Tamandua tetradactyla: one gene and its partners. The protein of the gene in region 2 purifies or fractionates together with the protein of the main gene of each other region. This does not show direct contact. Links are inferred from orthologs where the notes say so. Each region holds a gene or a part of one and is shown on either strand. Other genes may lie near its edges.

Region 1 (7,467 bases), on a different chromosome or scaffold from region 2:
TGCATTTTGTATATATGGTTGGGTGTCAGCCCAAGTTTGTGTTAATGGGATACTGTCATGGTTAAAAAATATTTTTAAAACTGCTGCTTTGGAATTACCTTCAGATCCAGCAGCACATTCTTTCTTCATGCTTTGAGAACTGACATGACTTCTGAAAGAAGTCATTCAAAGTCATGTATTATGAATATCAAGAGATATCAAGTGGAATAATATCATAAAATAAATGACTATAAAGTAACAGGACTGATCTTACGTAGGTTTAAATGACTCTGAAGGCATCAATGGTAGAGGTAGACAGCTTTTCAATGTGATTCAGAGAACAACGTTTTGTTAACTACTCTATTAAAGACTAATCATGGAAAAAATGTTTTATGATGTAATACTAACTGAAAAAATTCAGAGTTCTAAATTATGTACAACAGGATCCAGAATGTAGACATAAGTATATGAAAAAGAATTGGAACATAATGTAAAATAAATAATACTGCTGTTGTGACAGTGGAGGTTTAGTTTTTGCCCCCTTTTTTCAAAATTATTTCATGTGTCATGATATCTTTTTAATAATTTTCTTAAATCAGATTCATTATTTCAAACTCAAGTATTATAGAAATTTGTTCTATTTAGTAAGAAATAAGACTTTACAAGAAATCTTAAAATTTTCTCTTCTATTTCTAAATGCCATATTGGTAGATTGATAGCATTTTTGAAGATGCAGTGCTTTTATCAAATTAATGAGCTTCCAAATATAAAAAAATCTTTCTGAAATCAGAGCATAAGTGCTTAAGATCAGTCTGATTCATACAGCAATGAAAAAAATACCTTTATATCATAAGCACAACAATTTCAAATATATACCAGGAGAGATAACACCAAAATGTATTTGTAAAATATGTGGAAAAAAGGCTGAATAGGTTCAATCCTGTGTTTCTAATGGTTAATCATTATCTTATAAAAAGAATCCCCAAAATTATTAATAGAAATTCACAACACATTAAGAACAATCTAAGATATTTTCCCTTTTGTAGATTTCCATATAACCACTGTCTACTGAGGGATGCCAATTTGATTTAAGAATAGAAAGGCCTATGACCAAGAAACAAGCAATGAAGACTGACAGAAACAGAAAAGCTAAACTCAGTCAAATCCATTTGGCACACTTTGATTTCTAACTCTAACAAAAATGTTGAATTAGAAGACAACGTGAGGTTAAGGCAATCTGAATTTCTGAAGGGGTTAACATAAACTGAAATTAAATAAGTGGGACTTTAAATTAAATCACTAGGCATTCTAAAGGAAAGATTAATAATGGATATTCACTTCTATATCTGATTCTCTACAAGGATTTTTCTATATAAACATATGCAGCAATGTTAACTTACATACACAATACTTTTCAAAGATTCCCCATAACAAAGATTTAGATACTGGGAAATGCATAACATTTTAATATATAGCAAAAGATTTTAAAAAAATTATGAAAAATATTATCCCATTCCCCACCTCAACGCCATTACAAATTTTACTTTACCAACTCTGACGTGGTGTTTCACGCCCACAAGCTAGATAATGCATCGAACATCTAGTTTTAACCACAGAGTAAAAAATAAAACTAGTTTTAATTATAAAACGGTAACTTCCACACAATCTGTAATGGTTAAGACAAAATTTTATCTAACCAGATATTGCATGATAAACTCTGAGGACGTTAAATATTCTCTGCATCTAACAAATGACCAGATTAAATATGTAACTACTAAAGGAAAGAACTAATATTCTAACCTCCTTCTAAAATAACAAACGAGAACGGCAAAACCACACTCAGGCACATGGACTACTCTTCTCTCAAATCACTCCACAGAGAACTTCATCATTTGCTCCGCCCTCTAATAACTCATGCAAAAAAAGTTCAGCACCATCAGAGAGAAACAAGACACAGGGAATTCACAGAATGGCACAGGGCCTTTTCTCCAGGCTGAAAGAAGATCTCGTGTGCCCTTCACAGGGGTCCAAAAAAACAGGAAATCCTGGGCCTTGGGTTTGGGGATACTGACACCCAGAAACAGGTTCCCTCTCCGAGAAGTTTCCGCCGCCATCCCTATTTTAGCAGCAGGAGGCCCCGGCGCCATCTACTCGGGTCTTTATGATTTTATTATGGGGAGGTGGGAAACGCCTCCCAGTATCCGTCCAGGCCTCCAGAATCCAGTTTGGAGAGAGGGGGATTCCCCCCTCACTCTTCTCTTAAAACCCCAGGCCCTAAGGTTACTCCTCAGCAGCCCTCTTTCTGGCGGCCTATCCCCGGGGATCTGGAAAGGCGCTGCCGAACCCACCAGCATCGCCGTTAAGGCGGGAGGGCCCGAACACACCAAGGCCATGGCGATGGCTCGGAGGGGCCCAGAAAGGGGAAGGGCAGGCCAGGGACGCGGGAGCGAATGACCCGGCCCGGGAAGAAAGGAGAAAGGAGGTGAGGTGATACACTCTATCCGAAGCCTGCACAGACAAGAGATGATGAAGGAGGAGGAGGGCGGTGGCCCGGGTGCGGCCCCCCACTCCTCCCGCCCCCAGGTCCCCGGGCCGGCGGGGGCGGATGAGTTCGGCCCATTCGCCTGGACTGGGCTGGCAATAGGTTAGAGGTCTCCCTCCACACTGCAAGGAAACCGAGAACAAGGGTACAGGGAACGAGAAGGGGGGTAAAAGGGGACGTCTGTCTCCCGCCTAACCCGGAGACCCCACCGACGTCGCCTCTTCCTCAAGAGGGAGGACAGTAGCTGTGAGTAAAACCCAAGGGAGGAATGCAGGAAGGTAGGGGAAAGCACGGGGCAGACGCGACGCCCACTCCGGACCCCACTCTCAACCTTCCGGTAACCGCGTCTCTTACCGGTGATGGCCGTGAACTGCTGAATTAACCCCTTCAGCGCCGAGGACGCCGCGGAGCCCCCGTGGGCAGCCATCTTACCGCCGCCGCCGCTGCCGCCGAACAACAACACAGACACACACGGGCCGCCCTCCCCCACTTCGCCGCGCCGTTTGCGCAGGCTCATTGACTGCCCCCATGCTCCGCCCCCCCAGTCCGCTGCGCGGTGTGCGCAGGCGCACCTCGCGGCCTGTCCCGGAGCGTTCTCCCTGCCCTCCGGGTTGGCTGTTCCGTTGCTGCCTGCTCGCCGAATCCTTCTTTACAACCTATGGCTCCCCCTTCTCCAAGCTCCAAGACCAACCTTGTAGATGCGGTATTGGTTCCTGGTTTCCAGAGGCAGCCTCGGTCTCGGCAGGTAGCAGGTTCCTCGCGTTTCAAGTTCACAAGCTTTATTGATAGATCCAGCTGCCGATGGCCGTGTATTTTTTCTTATTTTGCAGGTCCCATCAAAAGCCAAATGTCATTATCGGCATTGTAGCAACTTTCTTTCCGATTACCCAACCTCTGAATTTTAAATTGCTTAGTCAACTGGTGCAGCAATCCCATACAGCAGAAAGAAAATGCCAGAACCCTTTCAAGCCAAGAAAGCATGGGTAATAGAGGGGATTTATAGCGGGGTTTTAATAAACAATTTTTCAACCTGCTTTCTTTCAATAAATATGTCCACATATTTCCCTCCTCGGGATTCCAGTTAGTTTCCTTACTTTTAAAATGAGGGTTTGCTATTTTTAAACAAAGAATATTTGCTACTTTTATAATTTTAAGTATTCTTAAATACAGTTCTATGATTGGGACGCGCTCAAAGCTGATGATTTTCTCTCCTTGAAAATAAAGTTAAAGAGCCTCAGTTTAGGTCATCTGCAGATTTGACCCAACCTAAGAAATAGTCTGTTAATGTGCGACTGGGGAGAGTTGAGAAATAACCGAGTTAAATCAAGGTTAGTATAGGGTTGTAGTTTCAGAAGGATATGATTGGTGTAAAAGAAAGCAAATCCTAATCGAAAATATTGTGACCTGTGCAAAGAAAGGATGTGAGGCATGGTAGCAGGCACAAACCTGAGAATAAAACACCTGGAAATGCTGCCAACTCATTGCAAGCATTCTTTTAAGTTTGTAGCTGAACTCTCAGAAAAATAAGAGAAATCTGCAGGGGCCAAAAAATGAACAGGAAACTAAATCACCCAGCAATGAGTTTGAGATGATGTCAGGACTGAGGAGCCAAGAGAGGAGGTTGTAGGTCTGGTTAAGTGCCTTTAAAAGCCACTAAAAGTCAAGAGACAAGGCCTTGGACCTTCTTCACTAAGTGGCCTAAATGGGAACACCTTCTCCCCACCCTTTTTAAAACTGAGACCTTTGAAGAACTACTTGCTCAGTAAAAATGTAAAAGCGCAGAATACGAAAAATACACCTGTCCTGGGAAGGAACAATGAAACTTTTCTCTCAGCCCCTGAGCTCCTTGAGGTGGGATGTAGATGTAAATAAATAAAGGAATAGATAAATAATAAATCCCTCAGAATTCCTAACTGTGGACCTGCACTCGGGATTTAAGGTTCAGTTTTACAATTTGCAGAGTACAGGAACCAACCAAAGGAAAAAGTTAATATAAAATTCTCCAGAGCTGATAGAACCCCAGGGCAACTGGGAGAAGCAAGTATAAAATAGAAAATTTCTTATGAAATAATAGCAATTAGTCTGATACAAAATTTGGACCAGAACAGCAAAAACAATGGACTGTTAGCCTTAAAATGCTGAGGAACAAAAGTGTGAAACTAAGATTTTATGCACAGATAAATTATCATTTAGGGGTAAAGATAAAATGAAGAAAATATCAAACAACTGAGATTACTGAAAAACAGACCTACCCTAAAAGAATAAAGGACATACTTCTTTTTTTTTTTTAATTTTTATTAATAACAGCAACATACAAGCACATACATTCTTTTTTTTTTTGATTTATCTGACTTTATTTAGCATACCAATAGTTTATCATGGTAATAAATTAGTATGTACAGTTATCAAAAAATGTTGGGTGCTTTCCAAGGAGGTGTACACTGGAGGTGTATACTAAAGTCTTTTGTAGAACCATTTAAACAGCTGTCCTTCATAATTTTCCAATCCAAGTGCGGTAACATGAAATTTTTGAAAAGTAGTCTCTTTAGCTATAAATCATGATTTAGATAGTTTGAATTTATAAAGATTTCAGATGCCATTTCAGTACCTGCAGGCTACCAAATCTGACATTATAGAATTGACAATTCAGTAATCATTTGATCCTATCAACTAATTATACAGATAGGAATCCACTGGTATTGTCAAAGATTACAAAAGCTAGTAAGAAGCAGAGCCTAGCCTACAAATTGCTTCTTAGGAAGGTTCCAAAAATATCTGTTGGGCTAAATAAGGCACATATATCACATGGAACTCTAGTCATACATAAAAAGACCCTGGTTTTACTTTGTTTAACATTAGATTGAATTCTGATGGTCCTTTTGTAGTTCACAAATATATTTGGTGATTTAGTTCTGTGGAAACAAAATCTTTCGGACTATTGCAGTTCACCACCCATCACTGATTGCCTAGTGTCGTTTACGCTTCTTTTTTCCTGGGGTGTTTCAACTCTGGCAACTTTTCTTCCCATTATTCTGAGCTCATAATAGACCTACTTCAAGGGTGTCTGTTCTTGTTTGAAATTCAACATCAGCAGGAGTTAACATAATATCAACACCTTTTTAAAAATTTGGATGGAAACTTAAGAACACTTGCAATTCAAAGTTTTATACCTGAAATCCAGGTATGTCATGCTGTGGGTTGCTTCTTTAATTGAAGGTGAACGTAGCAGTTGATGAAAGAATCCACAATCTAACAGAACAACAAACCACAAAAAAAGGTTGTCCTTGTGAAGAGGTCTGTAACCTTGCATTTGATTTTTCCATCTTAGTTCATTCTCGGTAGTTCGAGATTTGAATTCTTATAGCCTTCTTTAGCACTTAACTAATTCTTTGTTGGTAGAAGGTGCTGGGATTGTTTCTCCACACATAAACTGATCTTTGTCATAAATCACTTTTATAATGAGAGAGCAGCTAGGGCACGTTGCCACGTCTTCCCCATTCTCCAAATCTTCCTTGGTGATGGCGAAGTTATCCCCACATGGGCAGGGGTAGAAATACGTCTCCAAGTCTTCGTCATACTGGAAGTCCTCGATCTCCACCTCGTCGTGAAACACGGCCATTGCCACTGAGGTCAGCAAGAGGGCTATCGCCCCCGCCGCCCGACACCACCTCCGTGGGTTTAACCTCGGTGGCGCCGGCCGGCAGCACATACATTCTTAACATACAAACATTCTATACATGGTGTACAATCAGTGGCTCACAATATCATCACATAGTTGTATATTCATCACTGTAATCATTTCTTAGAATGTTTGCATCGCTGCAGAAAAAGAAATAAAAAGAAAAAAGAAGAAACTTATACATACCATACCCCTTTCCCCTCCTTCTCACTGATCACTAGTATTTCCATCTATCCAATATATATTTTTTAATTTTACCATTTGGTCCCCCTATTGTTTATTTTTAATCTATATGTTTTACTCATCTGAGTGTAGAGGGAGGAGGGCTGGGGACATAAATAAAATCAGAAAGAAAGATAGATGTTAAAGATTGAGATGGTATAATCTAGGAATGCCTAGAGTGTATAATAATAGTGCCTAAATGTACAAATTTTAAAAATGTTTTTGCATGAGGAAGAATAAAGGAATGTCATTATTGCAGGGTGCTGAAAATAGATGGTAATTAATATTTTAAAATGTCACCTTATGTGTGAGACTAAAGCAAAAAAAATGTTTATTTGGTTCAAAATTTGTATTTTGACTAGTGCAATTCCTAATATAACTTATGTAGATAGTTTGATTGAACAGCATAAGTACTTGGAATCTCAGGTAAGACATGAGATTTTGTTGGTTTGTCCAGAGTGATGCCTGGATGAATCCCAGAGTTCTTCGATCAGTGAGTGGAAAAGTATTTGCAAAGTCCCCTTCGGGGAATGGGGAAAATGGGGAGAAATTCAATTCCCCCAAGTTGAATTCTTGATAGTCTCATAAGCAGTGCAGACAACCAAAGCTATAGGCTGAGCCCCCAGTCTTGGGGTTTGTTCATATGAAATTTAACCCCACAAAGGATAGGTCAAGTCTACTTAAAATTTAGGCCTAAGAGTCACCCCCAAGAGAGCCTTTTTTGTTGCTCAGATGTGGCCTCTCTCTCCAGCCAACACAACAAGCAAACTCACCACCCTCCCCCTATCTACATGGGACATGACTTCCAAGGGTGTGGATCTTCCTGGCAATGTGGGACAGAAATCCTGGAATGAGCTGAGACTCAGCATCAAGGGATTGAGAAAACCTCTAGAATGAGCTGAGACTCAGCATCAGGGGATTGAGAAAACCTTCTCAACCAAAAGGGAGAAGAGTGAAATGAGACAAAAAAGTGTCAATGGCTGAGAGATTCCAAACAGAGTTGAGAGGTTATCCTGGAGGTTATTCTTATGCATTAAGTAGATAT
Region 2 (7,729 bases):
AGGAAATCAGTCCATTCCAGGGCTGGACCCTCAGTCAATGGCTCATCTTCACAGGAGGTACAAACCAGCTCCTTCTTCTGGTCACAGCCAGACAAACACTGAGCAGATCTTGCTGGAGAACCCTTATGATCCTATCACTGAATATACAAAGACAACCCTTGCCCGAAAACAGTTCTCAATTGGCCTAGTAGGTGAGGCAGACAAATGCAGGATGGAGCTGACAACCACTGCTATGAGAACAAAGAGGAGGGAAACCTGGGAATCCTAGGAAGGTGGAATGGAGTGGAGGAAATGTGAGGGTGGGGAGTTAAGAATAACTTCCAGAGAAAGTAATTCAATCTAAATCCCAAGGAGGAGTGGCAATTAGGCAGACAAGGGAGGGAGCTGGGGGCACAAGGAGGGAAGACAGCCTGTTAAAGTCCTGAGGTGAGAGAATAAGCAGGCATTTACAAGGAGACAAGTTATCCGTGCTTGGCTACATTCCTAATCAGAAACTAGAGAGCTAAACAGAGATGTCAAGGAAGCATCGCAGTCTCAAGTCTGGCATAGCAATTCCTAGGCCTACTGTTGGAGCTGTGGCTTCTGAATAATAGTTCTTATCTTGAGCCAGACTGATTCAGGAAATGGATCTACAAGTTGGACTCATCTTTGGATATAAGAGCTGTGGGGCTAAAGCATGGGAAGTAAGACACAAGCTAACAAGATAAAACAGAGCAGTGGCTGGCAAACTATTACCAGTTTTAGAGCAGAAGCTGGCAAACCTGTTTACCAAATCTGACCCATTGCCTGTTTTTGTAAATGAAGGGTTATTAGAACATAGCTATGCCCATTCATTTACATATTTCCTAAGCTGCTTTTTTCTTAAAACAACAGAGTTCAGTAGTTGTGACAGAGACCATATGGCCCACAAAGCATAAAATATTTCCTATCTAATTTATTACAGAAAAAAATTGCTGATACTTGCACCATAATATATGGAGTGATAAAAACAGGAATATGGAGAATGTTTAGTGGTGACTTTTAATTTTGCTTCCTGCTCTATAACAAGAATTTAAAACTTTAAGTAAATTTACCCAAATGTAATCTACAGCTTACAAATGGTAATGAAATAAAAGAATACAAAAAGATTTAAATTAGCTTTCCTGTGGAGGAAAAAAAAAATCTCTAGAGCACACAGGAGGGTACCTAGAAAGAGGACTTATACAGACTCATCTGTAACCCAGATACAGCATTTCTCTGCTTCTCTATCAGGTTTTCATCAAGTAGAAGAAGGAAGGGAGAGAGGTACTAGGCTAGAGTCCCAGACCCCTGGAAACCTCTGTCTCTTTTTATTTTTTAGCTTTGGTATTTTTAAGCATAAATGATATCATACCATACATATATATCTACAATTTGCCTTTTTCACTTAATGTATATTGGAGATCTTTACATGACGGTACCTAGAAATTTACCTCATTCTTTTTTACAATTTGCATACTAATTCATAGTAAATAAATACAACATGTCATTTAACTAGTCTCCTATTTTTGGACATTTGGTTATTTCCCTTTTTGCTACTACCAGCATGCTGCAATAAACATGCTATAACATATATCTTTGTGCATGTGTGAAAGTATTACCAAGGATTTTTTTGAAGAAATGGAATCGGGTCAACTTCAGAATGACTGTTGACTGTCCCGCATCTTTAGCACCACTAATATTATCAAACTTTTATATTATAACACTAATATTAGCAAAATTTTATACTATTATCAATATCATCAAACTAAGTATTATGAAACTTTAAAAGTTTTGCCAAAATAGTATATGAATTCATTCTCACTGTAAAACAACAACTATAAAGCAAAAGCAGAAGTGCCCTTCTTGACCACCATCCCGTAATCCCTACTCTGTCTGGGGGAATTTATTTCCACCTTGTTATTAAATTCTTATTGTTTTATGCCTTGATCTTCATAGGAATAATTTCTTAATAATTTCTTCAAGATTCCTGGACATACTGTTAACAATTATTTAGACTTAACTCTAGGTTTTACTTAGTTGATTTACTCACCATTGTCTTCTGGGATCTCCCCATCATCACGCGTATTCCCTGATCCAGATGTCTGTGACATCCTGTCTTTTGGGCTGTATTAAAAAACAGAGAATTCACTTTTAAAGCAGTCTTCTCCCATATGGTGTTATGAGTTCACTGACTATGGTTTCTCAACCAGTTTTATCCTATTGGTTTCATATCTTCAAGATGATCCTCAACATTTTAGTCTGCTAATCACCCTTCTCTGTTACCACTTGTAGTTATGGCTCTATTCTTATATTTTTTTCTTTCATTTAAATATAATTTTAAGAGGAAAACACGTTTGTTCAGACTGACATCTCAAATTGAAAGTCAAACGTTTCCTTTTAAATCCCCAAACTACAATGACTTGAGCCCCGACCTCCACACCACCCCCGCTTGAATGCCAAAAATTAGACTTCCCTCAAAACTATTTCTAAGGGTTCTCCACATATGATCAGAACCAGATCGCTAATTTTCTTCCTCCTCAGGCTTCAGCGCTTTTGTCCCTGTTCTTGAGGGACCTCTTGTTATCACCACTTTGCCGGATAGTGCTTTCTCCACTAATGACAATGATTATACTGGGCTTTTTCCTAAATTCTCCACATCACAGATGAAGAAAGACTATATCTTTTAATGTATTTCTACTATACATTTGGGAATAACATAAGAAAATACAACATAGGGAATAACTTAAATACCTCAAGATATGGCTTCATTTAGAGTCGGTAGGCCCAAGTCCAGACCCACTTTCAGTTGGTTCTTAAACGGTACTCTAACCGCCTTTCACAATCTCAAAGGGGTGCTTAGCTCACCATCACATGAGGACCAACAGGGCATCTTTATTGTTGATCTATGAAAAGTCCGATCTCTAAAAACCTGACGGATCAGCCAGGACCGTTCACAAACAAGTACCCTTACAACTTGAGGTCGCCCTTCGACCTAAGCTCCGCCCACAGAGGCTCGATTTCCGGTTCACTTAATTGTTTTCTAAGATGATTGACAGTAGATCTGACCAATTATTTCAGGGGTAACCCCACTTGTCTAACAGGCACCTGTTGGTGCCAAATACAAAAAACCAAAACCTCAAAACGATCTGGTATGGGTACATTTCTAAGGTCTGGTTTATTCTATCTTTGATAATACCGCCTATGAGACATCTGCAGGCAAGCCAGGGTTGTTCTTGTGCCAAGACTAGCCTAGTTCCTTTTCACACTATGTTTTCTGCAGTCCTCTCTGTCTCATCGCCTCGTCTTATGCTACCAATTGCCGGAACAATAACATACTTAACTTCATTCGACAAACAGTGATATACAGGCATGGATCTGTCTAAACAGGTATGGGGAAAATGATAACCATTTCTCCCCAAAGATCAACAAAGTCTTCAGAGACATAGTTTATCATCTGACCACAAATTCTAGTCCAAAATATTTACAGTCGTTGCTTCATTCAACTGGGTTGGATCTGATGATGTCTGTTGAATTTACATTATGAAATGGCATGTAGAGAACTCGTTTTTCTCCAGAACAAAGAGATAGTTTGCTCCAAATTTAAGTTGCAATCTCACTTAGGAGGCATTAACATTTTTTAAAAATGTATTTATCCCAGCATAGAAGTGTGATATACAAATAATCATATCAAGAGCAATGACACTCATAAAAATCAATCAAGGTGCTAGCCATCTTTTTGTAAATATCTCAGTAGACAAAAAATAACAACACTTTGCGATTAACAAGGTTATAGATGCCCCTGATCCATTTGTAAAGAGGCAAATTCAATTTTTCATTGTGACTTTATGACTTCAAGTTAATAGAGTTTTATGAATGGGCTTTTATTGACTTGCAACTTTTAATTTTTATTTAAATTTAAAAATTTACTTATCCTTCTTATTTTGCGATAATTGTAGATCCAGACGCAGTTGTAAGAAATAATACAAGGAGCTGTCTTGTACCGTCTAGCCAGTTTCCCACAATGGTGACATCTTGCAAAACTGTAGTACAATATCACAATCAGGATATTGGCATTGCTACTATTAAGATACAGGACAGTTCCATCAATGCAAGGATCCTTCTTAATTAATGTCCCTTTTTATTTTTGCTTATGTTGTTTAATTTTATATAGTATTTGCTTTCCATAAAGTTTGCTTTGGAGGTATGTTCTCTCTGCTTACAATAATAGATCCTATAAAAATAGGCATACAGTATTTTTTTCATGAAGAGCATTGCCCACTATAATGCTTGGTATGAGGGTCCATGGAGGAGCTTCTCCCAGACTGTTTTGTATACAATCATATTTATTTCATATAAAATTTACTACTTGTAATTTATTGTTTCCTTTGTTGCTTTGGCCACTAGAAAACTCTGAATCATATATGCATTTCTACTTCAGTACTGCATATGTTATTTTATTATTTAATATTTTTAATTAGAGAAGTTGTAGGTTTACAGAAAAATCATGTAAAAATACAGCATCCCTATGTACACCCCCCATTATTAACACTTTGCATTAGTTTGGTATCTTTGTTACAACTGGTGAAAGAATATTATAACTGTATTATTAATTATAGTCCATCATTTATATTAGGTGTATTTTTCCTCTTATACCACCCTATCAGTAACACCTTGCATTAGTGTGGCATATTTGTCATAATTTATAAAAGAATATCTTTATAATTGTACTATTAACTATAGTCCATAGTTTTCAGTAGGGTTGTACAGTCCTATGTTTTATCTTTTAATTTTTATTCTAGTAACATATATATGACCTAAAATTTCCCCTTTTAACCACATTCATATATATAATTCAGTGCTGTTAATGTTGTGCTACCATTACCACCCTCCATTTCTAAAACTTTACTATCAACACAAATATAAATTCTGTACAAATACATATTATAGCCACTCCCACATTCCTTCTCTCCCCTCCCTCTTGAACCCCTAGTAACTCCATTCTGTTCTTCATTTTTATAATTTTGTTGTTTCAAGAATGTTATTTAAATCTGTAAACTTTTAAACTTTTATAGTCCCACCATCAGTGTATGAGTTGATGCAATTTTTCTGCACCCTATTTAGTATTTGGTGTTTGAGTCACAATTTTTGCATTTTAGCCATTTTGATAGGCGTGTAGTACCAAATTTTTGACATTTTCAGTCAAATTCACATATCCTTTTCAATCTGCCCTCCCTTTTCTGAGCTCCTATGACATAAACATCAGATCTTAGGGAATTAAGGGGCTTGTCTCTTGGAGCAGTGAAAGGTGGGGAGGAAATGCTGCTGTCATAAGAGCCTGCTTTAGGCCTCTGAGTTTAAACATGACCTCTCAACCCTGTGCATGGAATTTTTAGAAGACCCGATAGGACCAAGGCCTTGTCTCTGGGCATTGTAATTGGCATCAACAGAGACCCTATTGTTCACTATGTATGGTTCTGCAGAATGTGCCCTGCACCAGCGTGTTTGACTGAACAGGTAGGAGTGGGGAAATGAAATCCAGCTAGTTAACCTAGCCTTGTGTCCTAAAGCAAGAGAAAGACAAGCTTTTGTAACTGGTCTGTCCAAAGGGGTGACTTTTTTTTTTAACTAACCGTACCCAAGAGGACACTCTTTCTTTTGCAATTTTTCTGCTTCAAGTATCATGCCTTTTTCTAATTTGCTCTTGAGGGGCCCTGTGTACACATTGCAACCCTAAAAACAATAAGAACAATTGAAAAAATTAAATATGCAAATCTGGGTTTTGTAAAAGACCACTTTGATTGTAAAAAGCAGCAGATTAGTGGCAAAAGTCAAAGTAGGGAGCTCAATTAGAAGGCAATTACTATACTCCTGGTGTAAATGCAGATATCTTAGAGATGGTGGGACTGGCAGAGATCAAGAGAGTAGAAGCAAGTTTGAGGAGATTTTGGTAGGTAAAATTGATAGGGTTTCAGGATGGGTTGGACATAGACATGAGGGAGAGGACGTAGTAAGGATGATTCCATGATTTCTGGCTTGTACAAGTGGATAGATGATAGTGATATTCACTGACATAGAGAATCCTGGGAGAGGATCAAGTTTTTGCTTCAGTTTTAGGGGGTTGGGAAGGAAGAAAGAGTTTGGTTTTGGAAATGTTGAATTTGAGGTGCTTTTGAAACATCCAAGAGGCATAGTAGGTGTATTAGACAGGGTTCTCTAGAGAAACAGAATCAACAGAAGATAACCTGAAAATATGAGATATTTATAGAAATTGTTTCATGTGATTGTTGGAATTTGCACGTCCAAATTCCATAAGTCAGGCTGCAAGCTGGGAACTGTGTTGAAGGTTTTTGATGAATTCCCCAAGAGAAGCTGGCCAGCTGCCAAAGACATGGAAATTCTCCGTCCTGACTGCTGAAATCATCACTTCTTTTAAAGCCTTCAACTGATAGGATGAGACTTCTCTCATTGCTGAAGGCACTCTTTTTGGTTGATTGTAGATGTAATCAGACATAGATGTAATCAACTTACTGATGACTTAAGTCCACAAAATGTCCTCACAGGCCAGTGCTTGCTTGACCAAACAACTGGACACCATCAACTGGCCAAGTTGACACATGAACCGGCAGCCATACAGATCAACATAAATCAGACTTAATCACTAAATAACAATTAATATCAGTCATATTTTTGCCTAACAATGCTCACTTGTCCTGCATACAACTGGAAACACACTAACTCTCTCCAGAATATGGTGGAAGCCCTTGGGTATATTCATGTAAATATAACAACATGAAACTAATACAACTTTTGTTGTGTGATAAGGGGATAAGATAGGGAAGACAACAATTATATTTACTTTATGTTCATGTGGAAATATAACAAGACAAGGAAGAAATATTCATAACTGTGATATTCCTCATTTCTGTAACTGGTCATGTGGTCATAGTCTGTATTTATCACTAGCTTCTTCTACTACCATTTCCAAATAACCCTTACCCTGAGGGAAGCATCTCAGCTGGTTCTGACTCATTGCTTGGTGGGATGAGCAAAGTGTTATTCCTGAAGTTTCTGGGCCATTGGTATTCCTAACTGGTGCTGTAAATGAGTCTTCAAAAGGCCATTCCATGATTCTATCAATCCAGCTGCCTTAACATGAAGGGTTACATGGTAAGACCAGTGAACTCCATGAGCATGGGCCCATTTCTTCACTTCATTTGCTGTGTATATGTTCCTTTATCAGAAGCAATGCTGTATAGAATACCATGATGGAGGATAAGGCATTCTATAAGTCCATGAACGGTAGTTTTGCCAGAAGCATTGTATGCAGGGAAGGCAAATGCCTATCCAGAGTATGTGTCTATTCCAGGTACCACACGCTACCTCTTCCATGATGGAAGTGGTCCAATGTAATCAACCTGCTATCAGGCAGATCACCTTGGGAATGGGCCAAATTGAGGACAGAGTGTTGGTCTCTGCTGCTAAGAGATCGGACATGCAGCAGTGGCCATAGCCAGGTCAGCCTTGGTGAGTGAAAATCCATGTTGCTGAGCCCATCCATAACCTCATCCCTACCACCATACTATGAGCCCATTGGGCAATGACAGCAGTAGCTGTGGAAAGAGGCCAATTGGTTTCCACAGAATGGATCATCTTATCCATTTGATTATTAAAGTCTTCCTTTGCTGAATGAACTCACACTCTGGTGAGCATTCATGTGGGATACAAATAT
Region 3 (7,767 bases), on a different chromosome or scaffold from region 2:
AATTTACACCCCCCCATAAAAAGAATAATCAATTACAAAAACAGTCATCTTAATAAATGTTTAAATTTTGTTTCGATATGAAAACACAGAAGTATACTTAAAACACTCTGTATTATACAGAGTGGAATTTATTTTATATACACGTCTCCACATAAGGAGACAAAAAATACTTTCATCAAAAGTTAACATTTTACCATTTTTAGTGAATTTTTATTAATGATCCAGGTACTAACTTATGGCTACGGTACACTAAAAACACAAAGACTAAAACAAGAATTGCCCAAATTAATTCAGGCATAAAAATAACCAAACTTATGTTATACAATGCTTTTCTCCTTGCTATAATCCCTCCTACCAGAGGAATTAAAGGCAGGGTTTTTAAGGGTTTGTAAACTTGAACAACACAAGAGGACAGAATTATAAAATGTGAAACAGATAATTTACTCTGCAAAGCTGTCCAGTCTGATTAAACCTGGGCCCGGGGTTAGAGAGGGATGTCAGTGAGTGACATTAAGAGGGTCCGGGCAGTGGAATGAGGACCCAGAACAGCAAAGCCAGCTGGGAAAACTAGTGGAAGTGGCTCTTGGTAAGAGATTTACAGCTAAACACCCTAAAGTGCCAGGAACTAAAGCTGTGGCAAACCAAGAACTGGGAAAAAAATTGCATAATACATGTGCAATACACATTTCAATTTAGTATGTAAAAAGATAGGAAAAGAAAAAGGTTTGGAGGAATTTAAAGCAAATGTCATCAGTAATCATCTATGGGTTGTAAAACTGTAAGAGACTCCTATCCTCCTGTACAGTTGTGCTTTCTGACTTTTTTCTAATGAACATTAGGAATAATTAAAAACAAAGGACTTTTAAGAAACCTCATTCTTCATTCATTCACTACTCTTAGCTTTCTCAAACAATCTCTCCTTACACCTTCTCTAGGATTACTGATTACATGTGAAGTCAACAGAGGTCATAAGAAAGTTAGAAATAAGAAAACAAAGGCAAAAAAAAAAAGGTCAATTGAAGTAAATGTGTAACAAAATTTACTGTCAAACTGAAATGTTTTTAGAGGGTATATGTAAAAAAACTAATTAAAAATAACTCAGTCTAATCATAATTCATTAAGTTACCATTCAATATGAAAAAGGTACATGAGGTCTGACTTAGTGGTGCTACTTCAACGCAAGAACAATTTCTGTATAACTCTGAGGAAACTGCTGCTCTTAGCTTTAGGTAAAAAGTACTTACATGTCATTATGGAGCAAATAGAGAGCTAGAAGCTGACCGTACACTGGGGGTGTAGCAATACCTCCAGGAGCCTAAAGACCAAAAGTGAAACAGAAAATTTTTATTTATTTTTATACACTTATAGAATAATACTTTATTAACATTAATATAAAAAGTAAGCTGATTTTATTATAGCACTTACTATCATGTATGTAAAATCACCTTAGAAAAGTTGAAAACCTGAATATTAAGTTTAGATCTGCCATCAACTATGATTTATCTTCCCCGGGCCTCAGTTACTTTATACTTTACACATACAGTTACTAAATAGTGCTGCTTTCCCAATTCTCAAATACTCATTTAAGGAATCTTACTATTATAAAAAACAAACATTTTCAATAGAGTCCTAAAGCATTACGGTTCTGCCCATGATATCAAATACACTGAATAGCTAAGTAAACAGCAAGGGACAGAAAAACATTGCAACTGAGTTACAAAGACTTTTCTCCCCATTCAATTTTAATTAATCCAGAAAACAGCTGTTAATTGCCTACTAGTAGTGAGATGCTACCTCTGATTAATGTCTTCTTTAATCATCTTTTTATACCAATTTTTAAATGTTTTAAGCACGCTTCTAAGAAAATCTTTAAAAAATAAGCTTTAATAGCTGCACAATATAACTTACATCTGTCTTCTTACATACAAAACTACAGACCTACTTGATATTATGAGATTAAGAAGGACTTTCTGAGTTAAGAAAAGGCTGCAGTGGTCACATCTTTCCTGGTTTGTGTATGTGTAAGTGTGTGCGTGCACGCGCGCCTGCACAACTGTCTTAAATAAAATCCTCATTCCCCCTCCCTCTAGACACGAAGAAGGAAAGAAAAAAAAACTATCTAGTCTAAACAGAATGAGAAGCATACTGGTGGATGGTAGGAGCAAAGATGCATTCGTTATTAGAGCTAACAGCTGAAGACAAATAGGTAAAAACAACAACAACAAAAAAGAGTTAATTAAGAAACACTAACCCACACTTTGGAAAGCACAAAATCACATGGAACGCATTTCTAAAAGTACAGCTCCTAATGGATTCACAAATGGGTGCACATTACAGACCGGGAAAAACAAACAACAACTGACAACAGAGACAACTAAAACATTTTATCTGTGTACAAATAAATTGATGTAGGCCCAAACCGTATTTAACTTAGCTAATTTGGACGCAAACCGAAAATATTCAAAGTACACCCCACCAGTCAAATTTAATGCTCGTTGTTTCACTGAGGATGGGCAAGCAAGCAAAGTGGCGTCGGGGAAAATGTCAGTTTACAAGCCTAAAACAAAAAAGCCACCTGCCGGACGGCGGAGGGCCAAGGCCCTGACAGGTGGAGAGAGTTTCTGAGAGCGGTCGGCAGGGAGAGGGTGGGACAGGGACCTAGCGTCCACGCCGCGCTACCCTTGGAAAGGAACTCGGGTGGCTCGGGGGCCCGGGCTCCACACGCCCAGCTCCGGCGCCCAGCCCGCCGCAGGCCCTGTTACCCTGGAGACCAGCGCCGCTCCCGGCCCGGGGCGACTCCACGGCTTCCCCCAGTCCGACGCGAATCGCTACCTCGAGCTCCTGATTCTCGCACTGATCCAGCAACTTCTTGAAACTGAAGCCCCCTTCCGCCATCACCGCCACTGGCATCTTCCCCACCGGTGCCACCGCCACCCCTTCCGAAACCCAGACCCCAGACTGTCCCGAGGGGCGTCGCGCCCGCGATGACGTCCAAGGACGCCGGCGCCGTCCGCAGCAGGCGCGTCGCAGTTTCGTCAGACGTCGCCCCGGCCGCGAAGGGTTGCCGCCGCTCTGGCCGGCCGTCTCGGTGGTCTGGAGGACCTGCCTGGCCCCGCGCGGAGTCCGCCGCCGAACCGGCCAGCGGGGCAGCTCTGTCCGCGCGCGCGGACTGCTGGGAAGCGGCCCTGTGCGGAGGAAGACAGATAACGCCGACACTAAACCCGCATCGGAGGTTGCTCTGGAGGCACAGTGAGGCGCTTCTTTTGAATCTTCACGCGTAGACCGAAGGCGGTGACGCCTGCGCGGCCGCGCGGGTGTGGACGAGCCCGCGCTGTCCCTCTGCGCAAGGCCCCGCGCGCGTCGGTGCCCGGGAGGTGGTCCAGCGCCGGCCCCGGACGTGCTGCCGCCTGCTTGAGGTCGCCGCCCGGGGGCCCAATAGGCGTCGCGAACGCAAGGGTTCAAAATCCAGTGTTTGTAACTTTCCCCCAAACCTGCGTTTTCCGCAGCATTCCCCGTCCCGCACGCCCCCCTTCCACGCCCTCGGCAAGTCCTGGCTGCGCTGTCTTGAGGATCCGTCCAGAATCGGAAGCTTCTCTGCCTGGGCCGCTGCAATAGGCCGGCCTCGCTCCTGCCTCTCCAGTCTATTCCTTGTTAAACAACCTGAGTGATTTTTCAAAAACGTTTACCATATCTTGTTACTCCTCGGTTCGAAACCCTAAAATCCAAAGTACTTGCCGCTGCTTACAAGGATGACAGCCCCCTTTTGACTTGCTCTCGACGCTGGCCTCCTTTTCTGCATAGTACCTGTTAGCAAATACTATTTCATGTATGCATTTATTTGCATATTGTCCCGTTGGACCCAATTTACAAAACACAGGTTCAAAGATAGAATTATTCAAACATTTTAGGTGACAGGTGTCATAGATTGTTTTTGCACACTGAATGTCTTCATGTGGAAATGTTTGTGTGGTATGTATACCAATACTAGCATGAAGAGGGAGACGAGTGTTGGGGATAGAATCAGGTGCCCCACGAAAGACAAGTTCGCGACATAACCCGTGCTTTGGGGCATGAGCCCGTTTGTAATAGGACCGCTGAAGACGTTATGATGAGTTAGGGTATACCCAAACTGAGTGATGGCAGGCTTGAATTAATATAGCTGAAATCCTAGTAAGTAAAGGTTACTGGACATGGGTGTAGAACCAAAAATCAGTGAAAGTCAGAGAGGCAGACTCAAGAGCAAGAGACAGAAAGAGAGACATCGCCATGTGGCAGGGGATTGCCCGAATGCTACAAGCTGTGGGAAGAAGCAAGTCCTGCCGATACCATCATGTTAGATTTCTGTCTTCCAAACTAGGAGCCAATAAATCCCTGTTGTTGAGCCGACACATTTTGTGGTGTCGTAGCAGCACTGGCAAACCCAAGCAGAGGGAATAAAGCCACATAGGGATAAAGTTTCTGTGTTTCATTGGAACTAACGCAGTATAAATCTGAAGTAGATTCTAACAAATTAAGATGAATTTGGTAAATGCTGGGACAGACACTAAGAAAATGGATCAAAAGCAACGCAAAAATCATAAAAGGAATTAAGGTGTTACACTAGAAAATAGTCACTTAAAGGAAAAGAAAGCAGTGAAAGAAGAATCGAGGGAAAAAGAAGACATGAATACAGAAAAAATGTCAGGTGCAAATCCAACTATATCAGTAATAGTTTTAAATGAGCATAGATTGAACAATCTAGTCAAAAGACAGAAATTTTCAGACTGGATAAAGAAACAATAGCTAACTATATACTTTCTACAGGAGACACACTTTAGATAAAACAATATAAATAGATCAAAAGTAAGATGCACGAATGGCAACCATAAGAAACTGGAGTGGCTAATAATATTAATAAAAAATGTTAATAGAAATAAAGAGGGATTTTGTAAATTATAAAAGGGCCAATCCAACAGAAGGATATAACAATTAAAAACATACGTGCACCTAATGACAGAACTCTGAAATACATGCAGCAAAAACTGGCAAAATAGAAGGGAGGAATAAACAATTCAACAATAGTAGTTCAAGGCTTCAATGTTGCCACTTTCCATAATGGCTATATCAACTAGGTAGAAGGAAATAGGAGATGTGCACAAAACTATAAACAAATTAGACCTAACATTTATCTATAGAACACTCCATCCGACAACAACAGGACTCGAATTCTTCTCAACTGCACGTGGACCATTCTCCAGATTAGACTATATACTAGACTGTAAAATAAGTCTCAACGAATTTAAAGTGATTTAAATCTTACAAAGTATATTCTCTAATAAAAATGGAGTGAAATTGGAAATCAATAACAAATAAATTTTGGAAAGTCACATATATGTGGAAATCAAACAACACTAATTACTACTAAATAATATGTCAAAGAAATCACAGGAAAATTAGAAAATACTTTCAGATGAATTCAAGTGAAGGCATGATACATAAAAACCTATGGGATGCAGCTAAGTCAGTATGGAGAGGGAAATTTGTAGCTGTAAGCATCTACATTCAAAAAGAAGAATAATCTTAAATCAGTAACTTTATCTTCCATTTTAAGTCATTGGGAAAAGAAAAGCAAACAAAAACCCTTAAAGAAACAAGACCCAAAAGTTGTATCTTTCAAATAATCATCAAAATTGGCAAACCTTACGCCAGACTGACCAAGAAAAAAAAAAGAGAGAGAATACTCAAATTGCCAAGATCAGGAATAAGGGAGGGGGCATCACTCCTGAGCTTACAGAAATAAAACAGGTTATAAGTGAATACCGTATACAATGATATACCAAAAATTAAATAACTAAGATGAACAAATTCTTAGAATGATACTATTTAAACTTATTCAACAAGAAGGAGAAAATCTGAATACATCTATTACAAGTAAAGAAGTAAAAGAGTTGAAATAGTAATTTTAAAAATTAGCCACAAGAAAGAGACCAGGCCCAGATGACTTTTGTTATGAATTCTATGAAATATTAGAAGAATTAATACTAATTCTTAAAAAATTCTTGCAAAACATAGAAAAGGAGGGAGCACTTCCCAACTTATTCTATGAGGCACGTAATACCGTAATACCAAAACCAGACAAAGTCATCACAAGAAAATAAAACTTTATGAGTAGAGATGCAAATCTTCTCCACAAATAACTAGCAAACTGAATCCAGCACTATATAAAAGGGTTTATTCACCATAATCAAGTGGGATTTATCCCAGGAATACAAAGTGGGTTTAAAATCCACAAAGCAATGAATATATGTACCATATAAATAGAATAAAATACAAAAGTTAATATCAAAAAACATGAAAAGATATCTGCCAAAATACAACACACTTTCATGATAAAAGCTCGCAGTAAACTAGGAACCGATGGGACCTTCCTCAGCCAGATAAAGACATCAGTGAAAACAACACAACCATATCACACTTACTGGTGAAAGACTAAATGCTTTCCTTCTAAGATCAGGAACAAGAAATTTCCACTTTCTACACTTCTATTTAATATTGTACTGGCAAGAAAGGAAAATAAATAAAAGATACGCAACTGGGAAGTAAGAAGTAAAAATATTTTTATTTGCAGATGACATGATCTTCTACATAGAAATTCCCAATTACTCCATTAAAAATACTGAAACAACTAAATGAGTTAAGGAAAGTTGCAGAATACAAGATAATATTCAAACATCAATTGTATGTATATATGATAGTGATTAAATATCCAAAAATGAAATTAAGAAAACAATTCTAATTATAAATAGCATAAAAAGAATAAGATGCATAGGAATAAAGTTCATAGAAGAAGTGAAAATTTTATACTCTGAAAACTAAAAAGCATTGTTAACAGAAACTTAGGGCACTCTTAATGAATGGGGAAACATCTCCCATTTATTGATTGGAAAACTTAATATTCTTAAGATGGCAATACTTCCCCAATTGATCTATGGGTCCAATGTACTCCCTATCAGAATCGCAGCCACTTCTTTGTAGAAATTGGCCAGCTAATTTAAAAATTCATACGGAGTTTTAAGGGACTCAGAATAGCCAAATAATATTGAAAAATAAGAACAAAGCAGGAGGACGCATAACTTCCCAATTTCAAAACATACTGCAAAGCAATGGTAATCAAAAAAGTGGGGATCTGGCATAAAGATAGACCAAAGGAATAGAACTGGTTGTCCAGAAATAAATCTATGTGCACATGGTCAATTGGTCAATTGATTTTCAACAGGTGTTCCAAGACCATTCAGTGGGAAAATAGTAGTCTTTTCAACAAATAGTAGTAAGACAACTGAATAGCGACATCAAAAGAATGAAATTGGATCCTTGCCTCATAAAGTCCTAAACATAAGAGCTAAAACATTTAATAAAGAATACATGGGGGTGAATTTTCATGAACTCAGAATCTGACACCAAAAGCACCAGCAACAAAAGATAAATTTGACTTCATTAAAATTAAAAGCTTTTTTTTTTTAAAATCAGAGGACATTATGGAGAAAGTGAAAAGACAAATCATGGAATGGGAGAAAATATTTGCACACTATAGCTGATGAGGGTCTGGTATCCAGATATGTGCAACAGATTACAACAACGATAATAACAAAACAAATAACCCAGTTTAAAAAATGGGCAAATCACTTGCATAGACATTTTAACAAATAAAATATACACATTGCCAACAAGCACATGAAAACGTGTTCAACATAATTAGTTATTAGGGAAATACAAATCAAAACCATAAGA
Region 4 (7,796 bases), on a different chromosome or scaffold from region 2:
CATCCCCAGTACGTCTCAAGAGTGCCAGACCACGCGGCCTTTCTGAAAAGCCCTCAGCAAGTGTAACTAGAACCTAAAGAATCATTATATTCTGACATCTGGTGATTTCACTCCCAAAAATTTATACCAAGAAAATAACTGGTATTGAAAGATGCATGAACTCAGGATGTTCATGCTGGCATTATATAATACAGTGAAAAAATGCAAATAACTGACGTGTCCACCGTTAGGGGTATGAGTGAGTAAATTATGAGCTGTCTACAGGATGGACTGTTACCCAGTTTCTAAAAAGGATGCTCATGAAGAGAATTTAATGGTACGGGGAAATGCTTAGACTTCATAAGTAAGTTAAGCAAAAGTAGCATGGTTAAAAAAAAAAAATGTATTAGGCATGATCCCAACTGAAAAAAAAAACGCATAGAGAAAGGGATTGGAAGAAATAACTACTTGGGTAGTAGACCAATTAGGTCATTTTTAATTTTCCTCTTCATATTTTTCCACATTTTCAAATTTTATCTAACAATCATGTATTTGCTCCTATAATCAGAAAAAGCAATAAATCTTTTCCAAAATGTCTGGGTATCCTGGTGTGGAGACACTGATCCCAAGCAGATGTGAGGGCGGCCAGGAAAGCAAGCAAAGCCGCTTCACTTCCCTGTCACCTGCAAGGGCCAAAGACTCCTACTCTACTTGGCTCTCATATTCCCTGGTTGAATATTCCACGCTGGATTCAAACCGCAGCCACCATTCCATTGTTGCGACAGTGTCAGATTCAGAACAGGCAGTGCAGGGCCAAGACAGGATGCTCCTTTCCCAACGGCACTGTCCAGTGACTTGTCTGCCCGGTCTCATCATTTCAGGATGGGACCCACCTGGAGGACACAGTGTTTCCTCCTGTAGCCATATAAACATAGCTCACTGTATTCAGTTAGATAGCTTAAAAAGAAAAGGACTGTATGGTGTGTGAATATATCTCAATAAAACTGCATTCAATTAAAAAAAAACAGAAAAGAAGGGATCATTAGCATGAATCTAGGAATTTATAAATGTTTTGGATAATGGGAAGGGAAAAAAGAGGACATAGATACAATGTTGATCAAAGTTATTAAAATTAAATCCCTGAAGAATCATACTCAATGATTATTAATTAATTCAAATGACCCTTTATTTAATGTGCTTGGTAGGTGCTAGGCATTAGATTAGGCACCTTTCACCCCTGCAGTAATATCTTTGATGGAGAGAAAGAGTCAGGGGCTTAGAAGGAGCACATTAGCCCTGGAGAGACCCAGGCTCAGAGAGGGCTCCTGCTCCACCTTTTACAGATTGTGGCCCTGGAGGAAGTTATTTCATTTCACTGATTTAACCTACCTAATGGAGTAGGCTCTAAGGACTAAATGAGACAGAGCTAGTAAAGCTCTTAGCACAATGGTTGGCATGGAGGTAAATCTCCAAGAACATAAAAGAGGGCAAGCAACTTGAGTCCTTGTAGATCTAGAACTAAAACTATTTCTATTAAGATGTAGAGCTAACCTCTCACCCCACCATTTATAAATACTTGCTCTACATCTCATTTTATTTCCTTTGAATCAAATAAATATTATAGGAGGGAGAAAAAGATAACCTGTTCTATCAATTTCCAAAGATATAGACATCACTAGTGTAATATAAGTGAGATAATACAAGGAAATTTGCAAATTATTATACAAACTATGATTACTGGTATATAAATTTTCACCTCAATTGACAAAAAATCTCCAAATTTCTAAAGATGTCACTACAACAATTATTCGCCTTTAAAATACAGCTTTGACAGCATATCTCTAAATCTACTGCCTTTCCTAGATTGCATGTATTTTAAAAATCTAAACTTTTTGTGCCACCAGTTTTTTCTACGACAATGTTTAGTATCTTAACTATCTGAGGGTTCCTTCATTTTTCAGGAATTCCCAATCCCAGTCCCAATATTTCTATAATTTCCAATTTTTTTCATTGATCACAATAAATAAGAAAGTAACCTTAGGCCTTTTTCTGTACAATTCTCTGATTTGTCTTTACAGGAAGGTAAAACAGTCAGTCATTGGAAAGCCCTAACGAACAGGCTTTACTCTGAATAACTGCAGGAAATCTATCAAACTTTCCCAAGAGAATTTCTTTAAAAGGCCAAAGATTCTGATATACTGAAAGGCTTACATATTGAAAGTATTTCTGGCAAATGAAACACCCGGGTTCTGACCAACATCCTTGGCCAAAACCCTCTCCTTTAATTAAGAAAAACAAGGGTTTGGTTGGCAAAAAAATTTGTGCAAAATACTCAAGTGCGGACAGTCTCCTCTCAGTTTTTCCTTAAGCTTTCATTAAAATCTTCATTTAAAGCTTCGAAGGCTCACCCATGGTTTGCATTTCCTAATCAGTTCTTGATAAGAAATACCTCGGCCGCCGTGGTGGATTGAGAAACGATGACTAATTTATGAGGCATTTAAACTGCTGAAGTTCTCTTTTTAACAAACACGGCGTTTCCTGGGTGGTATTTGCAATTACTGGAGGAAAAGAAGGAAGTCCTGCTGGGGTCACCTGTATGACCCCCATTGACTTACTCTTCATCCTTAACCAATTTGGAACCTGAACAGTAGACGACCGCGATTTCCGGGGACGGGGACTTTTAGGGATTAAATGGAGCAGGCTGGTGGGAAATACAAGTCCCTAGAGACGGAAAAGGAGGCCAGCGCTCTGCCTCCCAGGAACTCCGGATTCCGCCGGATCCGCGTCTGCGAAGACCAGACGTGGCTACGCGGTTCTGAAACTTCTATGAATGTGAGGGGGAAAACCCGCCAAACAAGCAGGCGCAGGTCCCACATGGCAGCGCAGAGGCAAAAGAGTGGCTAGATTCCTTCGGTTATTCACTCGGCGGTTCCGCCTCTACGAGGGCAGGGCGTGGGTTCCCAGCTCCAGCTGGGCTGTACTTACCAAGACTAGCGAGCAACTTCTCCAGCCTTCATTGCTGGGAGCCATACGCCTAGTTTACTTTCAGATTTAGCTAGGTGTTACCCATAATGCACTTGTAAAAGGGAAATGCAAAAAAGGTTGCTAGCTGATAAAATTCTTGCAAAACTATTTTAAAAAGAGTAATTTTGTTTTATTTTCACTGAATTTAGTCGGAAACTATTACGTATTTTTCCTGTCAAGATTGTGAAATAGGTCATGAAAAGTGTCCTTACTTAGAAAAGAGTTCAAAAAGGAACTATAAATAGGCAGAGATTAACAGTTTGTATCGGTTGGTCCGAGGGTTGTGGGTTATTGTTAATCTGTTTAGCATTGTCTCCCCCCACAACCACGCTTGACTAACTGTCGTTTTTTGCCATAGAGCTAACAGCAGCAGTTGGTAGGATTTGTACGAAGATAATTGAGATGTATGTGAAAGTAATCTTCATGTGACAGTTTGAATAGGAGAGTATTTTTGAAGTTGCCTATACTTCAAATGAACCTTCAGCGTTCTGAGAAGATAAAAGATTTTTACTCTTATAATGGTTAATTTGATATTATACAGGAATGCACTTCTCATTTAGGAGAAAAGAGGGAAAAACAAGTTGAAGAAGGTCCCTTTCAAATATGCGTATAGCGTGCTCATGAATCTGCGTGTTACATAGAAAAGATCTGGAAGATGTATACCAAATTGCTAAGTGTTTAACAAGGGAGTGGGATTTCAGAGGAAGGCATTTAAAGAAATATTTATAGGTTAAAAAAAAAGATACAGCAAGTTTGTTCTATTAATTCAGTCATTAATTATGTTCTATAATTCAGTCATTCAGTAGGTGTGGATGAACGTGTTTTCCATAAATTTGGTTTTTTATATAGTTTCACATATAAAATACATAGGTTCACAGATCAGGGTCAATTTAAAACCATGTACATCAGTTTAAGCTCTGTGGTAAGACTTACTGATTCCAGTATTAATCCACCATTTTCTGTCTTTAGTTGTCAAGCAGTGGTCATCTCTTTGGTTTAGTCACCACGGTAGTTAGACTTTACATTTAGACTCAAATCATGAGGTTTCAACACAAGGCTTTCATATTAGCAAATAAACTTGACTCTTTTGTTGAGAAATATGCACCCTCTGTTATAAGTTTGCTCCATTTAAGAAAAACAAAGAGTCTTGAAAAAATTTGGAAGAAAGGCTCTACTTTCATTAAATCTTGATAGATGAAAATGGTGTTGTTTGTTAACAAGCATTATTCTTAGCTGGAGAAGTTGTATAGCTTGCATTTGCAGGCTGGTGGGAGCTCACTGAAAACAGGTAGTTTGTGTCATTTGTCTTTAGTAAAGTTAATACATAAATTAACTCCTGAATTAAAAGACATTAAGAAACAAAATGCTAGAAATGTCAGAATACCAGGATCTTGTTCAATGATAGTCACTTAAATGTTTCAAATTACAAAAAAGTAAATAAATAATTCTATCAGAGGTGAAGTCCACCGTAAAAGAAATGGACTAGAACTAAACTTTTTACCTAGGTAATTTCAATCCATTACTCAGGCACAAGAGTGACGATGATTAAGATCCTATGTTCTTTGTGTCAAATAAGTTTTTCACAAAGATATCTGTATCACAGAAAAAAACTGTAACATTCTTATAAAAAGATGACGAATTTTTAAACAATCACACACACATATTTAGACATATATAAAGAGAAAAAGAGAAATCTGGAAATGAGTGTTATCATTCAGCCTTGCCACTTGAGGGGATTATGCAATGATCCCTGCCTATCGCTATTTACCCCCTTGTGTAATCCCCTCTCCTTGGGGGTGACCTGAATTTTTTGACTCATCTCTAAGAAATTGAATAAGACTAAAGTAATGGGATATTATCACCAAGGTTAGTTTTAAAAAAAAAAAAAAAAGACTGTAAATTCTGCCTTGAGTTCTCTGTCTCTGTCTCTTTGAGTCTCTCTTTCTTTCTTTCTCATCCCTTCCTCTGAGGAAGCTGCCACTGAAGACAGCAGTATGGAGAGGCCACACCCAGTGAGGCCCTAGGCCCAGCAACTGCCACATAGAGTTAGAAGCAGATTTTTCCCCAGTTGAATCTTGAGATGGCTGCAGCCCCAGCCAATACGTTCATCTCAGCCTTGTGAGAGACCCTGAGCCTGAGGACCTGGATAAGCCGCCCTGGATTCCTGACTCACAGTCACTACTGAGAAATTAAATGTTTGTTGTCTTTAATCGCTCCCTGTTGGGTTATTTTGTTATGCAGCAATAGATAACTGATATATGCATTTGATCCAAAGGCGCTGCCATTGCTTAAGCGTATTTGCAAGGCTTCTCTTTTGGAAGTGTGCTTCAGAGAAAATGGGCCATCGTTACTTTAATCACACCCGTTTTTCCCAAGAATGTACTTCCCAGCTTGCTCGCATTATACTCACCATCTTTGGCTTTGAAGGACATCAGGCTATTTTAAAAAGCAAATCTATCTTCAAAAAAGGAAGATTTGCTGCCATGGGTAATATTATGGAAGAACATGTACAGCTTCTGAAGGCAATTTTATTTGGTTTCAAATATATTTTAAAGATTTTTTTTATTAAAGCAGCTGTAGGTTTACTAGAACTTTATGCAGCAAGGATAGAGTTTCCATACAACTCCCTCGGCCCCACCACCACCACCACACACCACACAGTTTTCCCTATTGTTAACATTTGGCATTAGTGTGGTACTGGTTTTGATACCAACAAAAGACAGTTTCTCTGCTTGGTGTGCATAACAGCTAATCCATGACACCAGGGTTTCAAAGGGAGAAAAAGCATATTAGTAAGGGAGAAGCAGGAGATCAAATGGCCTATCAACCCCAAAATCTCTCTCTCCCAATCTAAGGAGTTCAGGATTTTTATGGATTCAAACAAGGGGAGATGGAATTATTACCATTATGATATCAAATATAAATAGGGTTCAGACCAGGCTAGAATAACCATTACAGTAGTAGCTATAAATAAGAGTGGGACTAGTTTGAGTTTCAGTAATGTCAGGTATTAACGTTAGGTTAGTCTACAAAAGAAAATACGGTTCTCTATATAATGATCCAGTAATCATAATCATTTATTAATTCTTAACATTTTGATTACAGTTTCACATATATTTTGACCAATAGCTACATCATTGGAATAGTTCTTCCAAAAAGAATAATACTTACTTTGGATATTCAATGCCCAGAGTATCTAATGAATGTGTTGTGCTGTGTTTATTTACTATTTAGCAAATGTATGACACTTGTTACTGATGATAATCTATGCCTAGGTTTTATAGATGAGGAAACAGAGACAGGACTTGCCCAAGGGTGCGCCACTAGCAAGTAGACTAGCAGGCAGTCTGGTTTCAGGGTCCATGCATTTTACTATAAAGCTATTCTGACCACATTGGTTTAAAATTAATCACTTTGTTTTATAGTTGTATTTCATACAATAACAAACTCAAGACAACAATAAATGTTGCATGCTTAATATTCATTGTAGTAAAATTTCATCTCTGTAGTCAAATAAAAAACAAATCCAGGTTTGGTAAGGGAAGATTTTATTCAAAAGGATCATTGCAAAGTATGAATGGGGTTATTGCAATAGAGAGAAGGGCCTGTAGTAAGGGGGAGACCTCTCTGACCATCAAGAATTAGGCAAAATGAGTCTTTCTATTATACAGAGGAAAGAAACCAGGTGTAGGGTAGTGGGATGAAAGGATGACGTGGTCAGATAATAGATTAGAGAATATTTTATGCTTTGAATCAGCCTATTTTCTGGGAGGTTCCTTTAGAGTTCAGGTATCTGGAGGAAGAAGAGAAGTTTAACCCAGGTTTGCTTAGTAAACTTTGTTCTGATTGATCATTTTGATCTGATAGATCAGTGGAGATAAGCAATTCAGCTAGCCATTTATGAGGTATTTTAGATTGTTAATGCTGCCAGAATACAGTATACCAGAAATGGAATAGCTTTTATAAAGGGAATTCATTAAGTTACAAGTTCACAGTTCTAAGGCCATGAAAATGTCCAAATTAAAGCATCAACAAGAGTTTACTTTCACTCAGGAGAGGCTGATGTTGTTTGCAACACTTAGTCAGCTGGAAAGGCAGATAGCTGGCATCTGCTGGTCCTTATTCCTGGTTCTGTTGCTTCCACTTCTGATGACAGTGTTTTTTCTCTAAGCATCTGTTGGACTTCACTCAGTTCCTCCATGACACAACTCTGTATTCTGCCTTGCTTAGCATCTCATGGGAAGGCACATGGCAACGTCTCCTGGGATCTACCAGTGCCTAGGCATCCGTGTCTCTGTCAGCTCTGAAACAACTGTTCTCCAAGAGTCTGCATCTGCATTTCCAAGTGTCTGTGTCTGCGCCTGCATCTGAGACTTCTTCAAAATGTTTTCCCCTTTAAAGGACTACAGTAAACCAATCAAGAACCACCTTGAATGGGTGGAGTCACACCTCCATCTAATCAAAAGATCACACCCACAAGTGGGCATGTCACATCTCCCTGGAGATAATCTAAAAAAAACCTTTCTGCCTACAGTATTGAATCAGGATTTAAAGAAATGGCTGATCCCACAAAATTGTATCAGGATTAAAACATGGCTTTTCTGGGGTACATAATAGTTTCAAACCAGTACATGAAGCAAAGAATGGGTATGTGGAAGGTCTGTGTCTGTCCTTGTCATGGGTAAACTGGGGGGGGAGGGGGGTAGCATCCATAAGTGTAAGGACCCAGTGTCTGGACCCCATCCTCTCCAGTATTTTGTGAGCAAGTCACTTATCTGCCTACATGACCAGGC

The links.
Region 1: the proteins of CUL4B (region 2) and UBXN7 purify together in Homo sapiens (affinity purification with mass spectrometry; 3 studies listed by BioGRID and IntAct, with this or other methods). This does not show direct contact. The link is inferred for Tamandua tetradactyla from reciprocal best matches to the Homo sapiens genes CUL4B and UBXN7.
Region 3: the proteins of CUL4B (region 2) and COPS8 purify together in Homo sapiens (affinity purification with mass spectrometry; 7 studies listed by BioGRID and IntAct, counting the BioPlex papers as one, with this or other methods). This does not show direct contact. The link is inferred for Tamandua tetradactyla from reciprocal best matches to the Homo sapiens genes CUL4B and COPS8.
Region 4: the proteins of CUL4B (region 2) and EZH2 purify together in Homo sapiens (affinity purification with mass spectrometry; 4 studies listed by BioGRID and IntAct, with this or other methods). This does not show direct contact. The link is inferred for Tamandua tetradactyla from reciprocal best matches to the Homo sapiens genes CUL4B and EZH2.

What each region holds. Positions count from the first base shown.
Region 1 is NC_135336.1:17,370,475-17,377,941, reverse strand, and holds the start of UBXN7 (UBX domain-containing protein 7), read right to left. Parts: upstream 3,005-7,467; 5' UTR 2,949-3,004; coding exon 2,876-2,948; intron 1-2,875. Other genes in the region: diphthamide biosynthesis protein 3, read right to left, coding at 5,892-6,140. UniProt on the Homo sapiens protein: Ubiquitin-binding adapter that links a subset of NEDD8-associated cullin ring ligases (CRLs) to the segregase VCP/p97, to regulate turnover of their ubiquitination substrates.
Region 2 is NC_135353.1:46,084,221-46,091,949, reverse strand, and holds the start of CUL4B (cullin-4B), read right to left. Parts: upstream 3,006-7,729; 5' UTR 2,752-3,005; intron 2,125-2,751; 5' UTR 2,112-2,124; coding exon 2,051-2,111; intron 1-2,050.
Region 3 is NC_135329.1:214,107,785-214,115,551, reverse strand, and holds the start of COPS8 (COP9 signalosome complex subunit 8), read right to left. Parts: upstream 3,002-7,767; 5' UTR 2,911-3,001; coding exon 2,833-2,910; intron 2,759-2,832; exon of another isoform or gene 2,576-2,758; intron 1,316-2,575; coding exon 1,245-1,315; intron 1-1,244. UniProt on the Homo sapiens protein: Component of the COP9 signalosome complex (CSN), a complex involved in various cellular and developmental processes.
Region 4 is NC_135327.1:193,080,214-193,088,009, forward strand, and holds the start of EZH2 (histone-lysine N-methyltransferase EZH2), read right to left. Parts: upstream 3,011-7,796; 5' UTR 3,010-3,010; coding exon 2,965-3,009; intron 1-2,964. UniProt on the Homo sapiens protein: Polycomb group (PcG) protein. Catalytic subunit of the PRC2/EED-EZH2 complex, which methylates 'Lys-9' (H3K9me) and 'Lys-27' (H3K27me) of histone H3, leading to transcriptional repression of the affected target gene.